Coturnix japonica: one gene and its partner. The protein of the gene in region 1 purifies or fractionates together with the protein of each later gene. This does not show direct contact. Links are inferred from orthologs where the notes say so. Each region holds a gene or a part of one and is shown on either strand. Other genes may lie near its edges.

Region 1 (4,387 bases):
CTACATTGAGTTCAACTTGACAAAGATATTGCCTGTGATTTTCTGCTCGAAGTTTAATTACCTCCTTTGGCTCAATTACCAGAACTCTGCCTATAGTGAAAGGTGCTTCAAAGTAATACAATTCATTTTACTGTTGAGTCACCAAAGATGTCGTTAGTTTTGGCTTGCAGTACAACTTACTGATTCAGAATTTTATGTTAAACTGAACTTTAAATTGGTTGAACAGAAGAACAAGAACTGGCTTGTGTAGAAGGTAAAACATTTTATAAGCATTACTCTTCTTATTGTCATCATTTTTCTTGTTTGTGATGTTTTCTTATGTTTTGGTTGCTCTGTGTGTTGGGTCTAGAAGTTTTGGGTTTTGTTTGATCAGGATGTTTGATTTAGACATCAAAACCCAGAAGAGGGTCACTGTAAAAACACCTTGTGGTATTAAAAAAAATGATTTGCCTCGTTTGGAAAAGCATCAAAACCTCAACAAAGCGATGGCATTTGTTAAAATCATTGCTAATGAATGCATTAGTAATGTGGGATGGTGAGGATTTATAAGATTAAATATTCACATTCATCCTGCTCTGTTAAGGTGCTAACCTCTCACCGTGTCATAATACGTCTGAGATCTTTAAGTAAATAACTGTGCTTTGCTATGGTGTGAACTGAGTGTGGACTGATAGGAATCTTTACTAGCGAAACACAGCTATTTCTCGGGATATTGAAATCAGTACAATTATCATCTTGGGTTTAAATTCTTAAATAATATTTCTGTCATGTGATCCAGAACGATAGTCTGCATTTTCAGTACAGCCAGTTTTCTCATTTAGAAACGACTTTGTTTTGACTCTGTACAGATACACTGGAGGTTTCAGATCAGGTGAAATGCCAACCTGCAGAGATGTCAGCCCACACATTGCTGACTCGGGACTGGAAAAACTCGTTGTTCTCATGAGAGGAGGGAGGAATAAAGGCAAGAAGACAAGTTCTGCGCCAAGTTAGCAAGCGGCGTTGCTGGCAGCTCTCATCTTCAGGGGGTACCTCAGAGAGCAGCACATGGCGGATGTGTGCTGCCAGGGAGGTTGTGGATGCCCCGTCCTTGGAGGTGTTCAAGGCCAGGTTGGACGGGGCCCTGGGCAACCTGATCTAGTAAATGTGTATGTTTGGTGGCCCTGCCAGGCAGGGGGTTGGAACTACATGATCCTTGAGGTCCCTTCCAACCCGGGTCATTCTGTGATTCTGTGGCGGATGACTTCTCACGGTGGCCTTTGTGCAGACCATGGATTCTGTGGGGAACAACCACTCCCTCACACCATCTTTCAGCGGCCCTTGAGCACCACGCCTGGCCGGTACCCAGCGGGAAGTGCTGGCGAGCGGGTTGGGGGCTCTTCGGCCGCTCCACTCCACGAGGAGCGGGCAGGAAGACCAGCAGCCGCTGAGGGGTGATGCGCTGCCCGCCCGCCGCCACTGGGTGCCGCCGTCTGACAGCGGGCCCCGCACTGCCGCGCTCCCCCGGCCCTGTGTGGGGCGCTGCTGCCGAGCGGTGCGGAGCCGAGAGGCTGCCGGGAGCCGCCATTTTCTCAGCCGGAGCGATTCCCGCAGCCGGGGCCGGTGAGGAGGATACGCGGCGCGGTGAGTTGTCAGGCGGGCGCGGCGCACTCGGGTCGGCGGGCGGACTCCCCGCGCGGGGTAGGGCCGCTCCTTTCCAGCCCTGGTTCTGCTCGGGGCCCACCCGCCCCATGTGCTCGAGGGTCGCCGAGCCGGGAGGCGTTGCCACAGGAACGGGCGCGCCCCCTCCGCTGCAGAGGTGTCCGCTCGTGGTTTCACAGCCTGGGCTTTGTGGTATCCACTGAAGTGTCTGCTGCCTGGAGTTGTGATCTCGTGTGTAGGACAGTGTTCGGATGGAGCAGAGTCGTTCAGCTCTTCCTCCTGTGCTGCTGCCCGCACTGGAGCTGTGCTGTGTGTTACGTTAGGGATGAGGTGTGGTGGTGTTTGCTTCACTTACACCAAAAGAAAAAAAACATTTTGCTGATGGATGCTTCCAAATCCTTTCTTAACTAATAGCTTGATGCAGTTAAATATACACTGAATTATTCACCTCGTCTCTTGAAATAACTGCGTAAGATGAACTTTAAGAAAGCAAGTTTTCATCTGGGGATGAAAAGTTTTGTTGAATAAGTCTATATTTTGATATATTTTTTTTGTTTCCTTAAGTGCTTCCTTTTGCTGTCCTGTAGTTTTATTTAGGACCCATAAGAGGACACACGAGTGATTCAGTCCTTTTGGAAGTTGGGCACCCACGCTGTTGGCCAAGAAGGGCAAAGAAATGAGTTAATGACAGCTCTGTGCTTCCTCTGACCTTGCTCCTTGTAACCAGCAGCAAAAGTGAAAGAACTCTGATGTGGGTGTGGTGGGGTTTTTTTCTGCTTCAAGTGATACGAGGCAGACTTGCTTCTGTTATCAGAACAGTTAGAAAATGCGTGTTCCTATCAAAGCCTTTGGAATGTGAAGGTGGATTTTGTTGCAGGCTTCTGTGTGCCCACGATAGTGATGGTGCACCTGTTGCTGTACTGCCAGGCTGGGCGAGGCAGCCAAAGGGAGTTGAAGTGTTGCAGAATATCCAGTTCATAAGTCAATGAAGAGCTCCCTGTGAAGGAAAGGATGTATTTATTTATTTGTTTGTTTATTGCCTAAAGATTGGTGCCAGAACACATGAAACTTGTATCTGCTTTAGTTAATCTGCTGCTAACCTTGGTTGGTGGCAGGATACCAAGGGGAAAGCCATTGTAGATACCCTTTCATTCTTATTTTCCATCAGGAGTTAATGGATGTAGTCTCTTGCAGCTTATTTTTCATAGCAAGAGGTCCATCATGAGATGTTCTATTCAAAAGGCTCTGAACACAACTATAGGAAGCCAGGCTCTAGAAATAGATTTCTGAACCTAAGGGGAAGAAAATTTTAGTTGTGCAGATAGGCTGAAGGTATGTGAAAGTGGAAGAAGGCGTGTTGCACAGCCTGATTTGGGTTGTCCTTCAGGACTAGAAATGCTATTGTTTTAATTGGTGCTGCTTCTTAACAGCTCAGACTGTATCACAGAATGTTTTACTTTTTGCCTTTTCTATGCTTGGTTAGTTATCGGGTGGATACCAGCAATAAGATATTTGACCCCCTTATACGTTGCTGTGTCTTTGAGTAGACGAAGAAGGGACAGCAATTGATTTCATAAGGAGAGATTTTGCACATCTAGTTTTAGGAACGTTTCCTATTTTAGAAATGGAAACTGTAATACTGTGTGCACAACTGAAAATTGTTACCAGAGAACCTGGGTGCTTCCCATGTTAATTTTGGACTTGATGACTATCCAAAATCTTCTTTACTAGAGTGCAGGTTCTATTTTAAAGCTTGCTTAGTGGAATCTAATCAATGTTGGAATTGAGAAGCCATCCTCAGTGAGCAATGTCACTTATGTAATATAGAACGTAAAATGAAGCTGGTCTTGAAGTTTGCTGTCCTTCCCCTTCTGTGTTCTGAACGTTTTCTTATTAAACAGTAAGGCAGCATTTGGTGCTGAGTGCTGTCTGCAGGTGCAATTTTCACGTTTCACTTTTGTGTTAGAATTAGTCCTCGAGTCATCCCAACTTGATAAAAAACTTCAAGTATAGAGGATAATTCAAGAGATTCCAAGCACACAGCTGTGTGTATGCACACCAATTTGGGTGTGTATGATTTCAGCCCATCGATGAATGACAAAGCATTCATGCTAGTGATACTGGGCTGAGGTGCCATTTAGCCCAGATGGATTTGCTGTGTGAGCAGCCCAGCTGGGCAGAGGTCATGGGCTCCCTGTGCTGCCCTGCTGCTGCAGTTTCTTCCTTTATAATCGCAAGGATCTGGCAGTTTTGCTGTGGCATTAATCACTTTACTGCAACTGGAGTCCAGTCTCATTATGTCCCCTTGAAGAGAGCTTGTCTCTTTCTGTCTTTTCACTCATCTATAGGCATAAATGTTTTCTAGCTGAACAGTAAAAGCATGTGATGCTGCAAGCTGGAGCACAGCTCATACTTGAGAAGGGAGGAGTATCCATGGTCACTGCAGGTTTTGCCAGGTGTTTTTTATCACTGCCCATTTTGTTCACATATTCCCATTGACTGCCTTTTTTTTTTCTTCCTAACCAAGAAGAGCAGTAACTCCGTTGTATTCCTGCAGTGATACACTTTATAGTCACTGATTGATACTTTTGATGGATACTTTGTTCCCCTGTTTTAACTCTGTGGAGGGTTGGATCTGTATAGCTTGCTTCTCAGTTTATTGAAGTTGCTTTGTTGTAGCTTAGGTACATATATCTGTTTCTATCTGAGCTGTTAGGATAGGTGCTTTGTAAAGGACTGCAGCTTG
Region 2 (3,683 bases), on another chromosome or scaffold:
CTCAGATAGAATGATCTTTCATTGGTAGCTGGAGTGTCTGAAGCAGTTTGATTGAACTCCATGTGACACTAACATTGCTCAAGGCAGAAGGAAAAAAAACCAGCAACAACCAAGTAAGTATCTCTGCTGAAATTACCCAGTGGGAAAACACTCTGTTTAGTTGCTGGTCCATCTGTTGTATGTCAGCTGGAGAGCAGAGTCTTTAGGCTGAGAGGGAGGAAAGAATGTGGGTAGGGTGTTAAAAACAGGAAGAAAGGCAAGATTGACATTGACATCTTGCCTTTCTAGTGCTGCAATTAATACATTGCTTCCTTATTCATACTCACTTCTAGTAGTTCATGTGGGGTCAAGCCGTAGCCCACTCCTTGTACCTCATGGAAGTTCGTTCTTATCCAGACAACAAGTCTGTGGAAAAGAAAGGCAGGGAACAACTGGCAGAAATTCCTTTCTGCTGCTTTTACTCCTGTGTGGGCCTGAACTCTTGTTTGTCAAAAGTGAAGTATTGTCCATGTGGATATCAGTCATTGTGAGGTATTAAAACCTGCAGAGTAGTTCCAAGACTTTGCCATTTAATCTACGTATTCTCACAAGAGATTAATTGTTGAAGCACCTTTGTGCGTTATTAATATCTGTTCATTTCTGCAGCTGTGTTTGCATTCAATATTGGCTCATCAGCTCTGAGACTGTCCAGGAGATGGGGAAAGATAAAAACAAGGGGACACAAACTGTTTATAACCTCCTTTAATGCATCAGGTTTTGGCCAGCAGCAGGAGGTAGTACACACTTTAACACTGTGCATGAATGTCTTTGGCAAGGAGATGCCTTTTCCAGGATAAAGCACTCATGTATTTGAATGTTTTCGAAGTGTTGAGATACTGTAGTCCTCATTTGGCAGGCACATATAATAACATCTATTAGTTGGCACCCTGGGTGGTAGGCCTAGTACTGAACATCACTTTTATAGCCTATATCACAACACTAGTGCAGGCTGCTCAGCAGAGAGCACAGAGATACAATGAGTGCCTTGGTGTCTCTCCCATAGAGATCCAGGCTGAGGAGCAGAATAGCACTTTCTGAACACAGAGTTCTTGGAACGATCACTTCGAATTAAATGAACAACGCTGTTTACAGTCCTGAGAGTGCCCTCTAGTGTAAGTGGGACCTTCGAGGATTCTGATCTATAGAGCAGAGCTGTTGTGTCTCTTACGAGAACCACGTCGTGCTAACTTAAGTGAAGGCACTGGCTGCTGTGCCAGGGTGGCAAACCCTTGTTTCAGCATTAATCCTGCACCTTGCTGGCTTATCATACAAGTTTTGGTGCCTGAAACAACTCATCAAGATGAGGCCATGAACTCAGTTACTAGTCATAGGAACATGACGTGGAGCTGTGTGCTGGCACTCATAGCAGTAATATATAATAGCACCTTTGATATGAGGTGTACACATGTTGTTGAGGAGTAAAGGCCGCAGGTTGGCTGTACGTGCAAAAAAGCCCAACGTGGCGGTGTGTCAGACGGGAACATCCCACCAACGACTCTCCATATCCCGGCATTTCGGCCGCATTACGGAGCCTGCGAGCACCGAAGCTCCGCCTCAGCGCTCGGTCGGAGCCACCCGCCGCCCCTCATCGCTTCCCGCCCCGCTGCTCCATTGGTGCCCGTGGCGGTGACGCGGTCGCTGCGCCGTCGCAGCCGGTTCCCGGTGCCTTTGGCGGAGGCGATGCCGAAGCGCTCGTGTCCCTTCGGGGACGCGGCCCCGCTGCAGCTGAAGACCCGCGTGGGGCTGAAGGAGCTGAGCCGCGGGGTGCGGGGCGACGAGTATCGCCGGGAGATCTACGGTGAGACGGGGAGGGGAGGAAAGGGCGGGTGAAGGGCCGCGGCCGCCCGTAACCCGCCTCTCGTGTCCGCCGGCAGAGCGCACCCGGCGGCTGCTGTTCAGGGCCGCTCAGAGCTGCACGGAGCCCGCCTGGCCCGCAGCGCCACGAGCCGCCAGCCGCTCCACGGAGCCGGAGTCGGGAGGGGGAAGCGTGGGACGGAGCCGGAGCGAGCAGCTGAGGATCGGGCCCAACGGGAAACTGCTGCGATGCACGGCCAACACGGAGAGCGGTGAGATGCGGTACCAAGCGGAGCTGACCAGCTCCTGCTGTTCTCTCTGTTTTCCTAGTTTCTTGATTGTATCTTTTCTAAGCAGTTCCTCCGGTGGGAGTTTCCAAAGCTTGCTCCTCATGTGTAAGAGCTGCTGATGTGAAGGAAGCGTGTGCACAGTGCGACCGGTTCGTGTGCCAGAGCTGCAGCAGGGTGTGCAGCTGCTGTAATGCCGTGACCTGCTCCCTGTGCTCCATCACTGAGTAAGTGCCTTTGGACTTCTTGGATTCTTGTCACTCCGTGCACCCTGACGACCTGCTGTAGTTTATGAAGCCTCAGCAGTCATCTAACTCATACATCCAATTGACTGAAACTCCTTGGATATTGAATTAGGAGCAATAAAACTGCGTGAAACGTGGGAAATGAAATGCCTGTGTGAAGCAGCTTAATCGATCTTAATGAAAGCCTAGTTCAGCTTTTCATTTATGTGCTCAAGGTGGCAATTATTCCTCTTGCTATTTCAACAGCAGTGTCCTATTCTGGCCAGTGACGAACAAATGCACTCCCAAGGAGTGACGTTAAGAGCTCCATGTTGTCATTAAGGGTGCTGTGATATAAAGAAGGTGTTGTGCTCGGAGTCATATGGAGGGTTATTAGAGTTAGGGTACTATGGTTGGGCTGCGGTTGGACTTGATGATCTTCAAGGTCTTTTCCAACCTGGGTAATTCTATGATTCTATGATTTGTGTTCCAAGAAAGGTGAATGCACTCTGACTTCTTGTTTTTCTTTCTTCTTTTTTCCCCCCCCTCCAGCTACGCTGATGTTGGTGAGCAAATTCTCTGCAATGGCTGTTCAATATTTCAAGTCTGAAAGCAGATGAAATAGCCTTTAGTGCTAAACTGCCTGTAAATTCCATGAAGGCTCCTCCTTACAGCTGGCCAGTTAATGCCTTTAACCCCTGAACCAATGATGGGATTTCTATGTTTTATATCTTTATATTGTACTTTTTAATATTGTAGTTAAATAAACTTTTATATTTTGAGGATTTCTGCGTTGTTTTGAGTTAGCTCTTGCTTTGCTCACGTTTGTGACACGTTTGGAATGGGCTGCTTTGTGCTCTTACCTGCTATTCCTTGTGCCACACAGAAGTCAGTCTCTCTCATTGCTCATATCAAGACACTCTTTGTGTGGATCGGAATAGAAATGGCGTGTTCCTTATGTGCTTCCAGGTGAGTGTAATCTATCCTGAACACAAAACATGCAGTGAACTAGTTAAGAGTAGTCAGCCATGCCTGAACTGACCTGCTCAGGACTGGCCTATGCATAGTTTGTGTGCTACGTTTGCTAGTCAGGAGATACCAAGAAACAGCATCACTGTAGGAATGTTTTAAGCCTGCTGGATTTGTGATGTACAGGTGATGCAGCCCAGTGTTGGCCCCCTGGTTTGGGAGGTGTGAATGTACCTGAGGCCTTTGGGTTAAAGGCTTGGACAACACTTTTCTCTCAGCTGTCCCGAAGTTGTTTTGTGTTACGTCCACACGGTGGCAGCATTAGCAAGAGCAGAGCCAGCATGATCGCCATAGCGCATGAGATGCAGAG

Evidence for each region. The genes of interacting proteins can lie anywhere in the genome.
Region 2: the proteins of XIAP (region 1) and SIVA1 purify together in Homo sapiens (affinity purification with western blotting; 3 studies listed by BioGRID). This does not show direct contact. The link is inferred for Coturnix japonica from reciprocal best matches to the Homo sapiens genes XIAP and SIVA1.

Annotation. Positions count from the first base shown.
Region 1 is NC_029519.1:14,642,467-14,646,853, reverse strand, and holds the start of XIAP (E3 ubiquitin-protein ligase XIAP), read left to right. Parts: upstream 1-1,515; 5' UTR 1,516-1,623; intron 1,624-4,387.
Region 2 is NC_029520.1:46,911,532-46,915,214, forward strand, and holds SIVA1 (apoptosis regulatory protein Siva), read left to right. Parts: upstream 1-1,331; 5' UTR 1,332-1,719; coding exon 1,720-1,837; intron 1,838-1,913; coding exon 1,914-2,105; intron 2,106-2,190; coding exon 2,191-2,347; intron 2,348-2,896; coding exon 2,897-2,954; 3' UTR 2,955-3,134; downstream 3,135-3,683. UniProt on the Homo sapiens protein: Induces CD27-mediated apoptosis. Inhibits BCL2L1 isoform Bcl-x(L) anti-apoptotic activity. Inhibits activation of NF-kappa-B and promotes T-cell receptor-mediated apoptosis.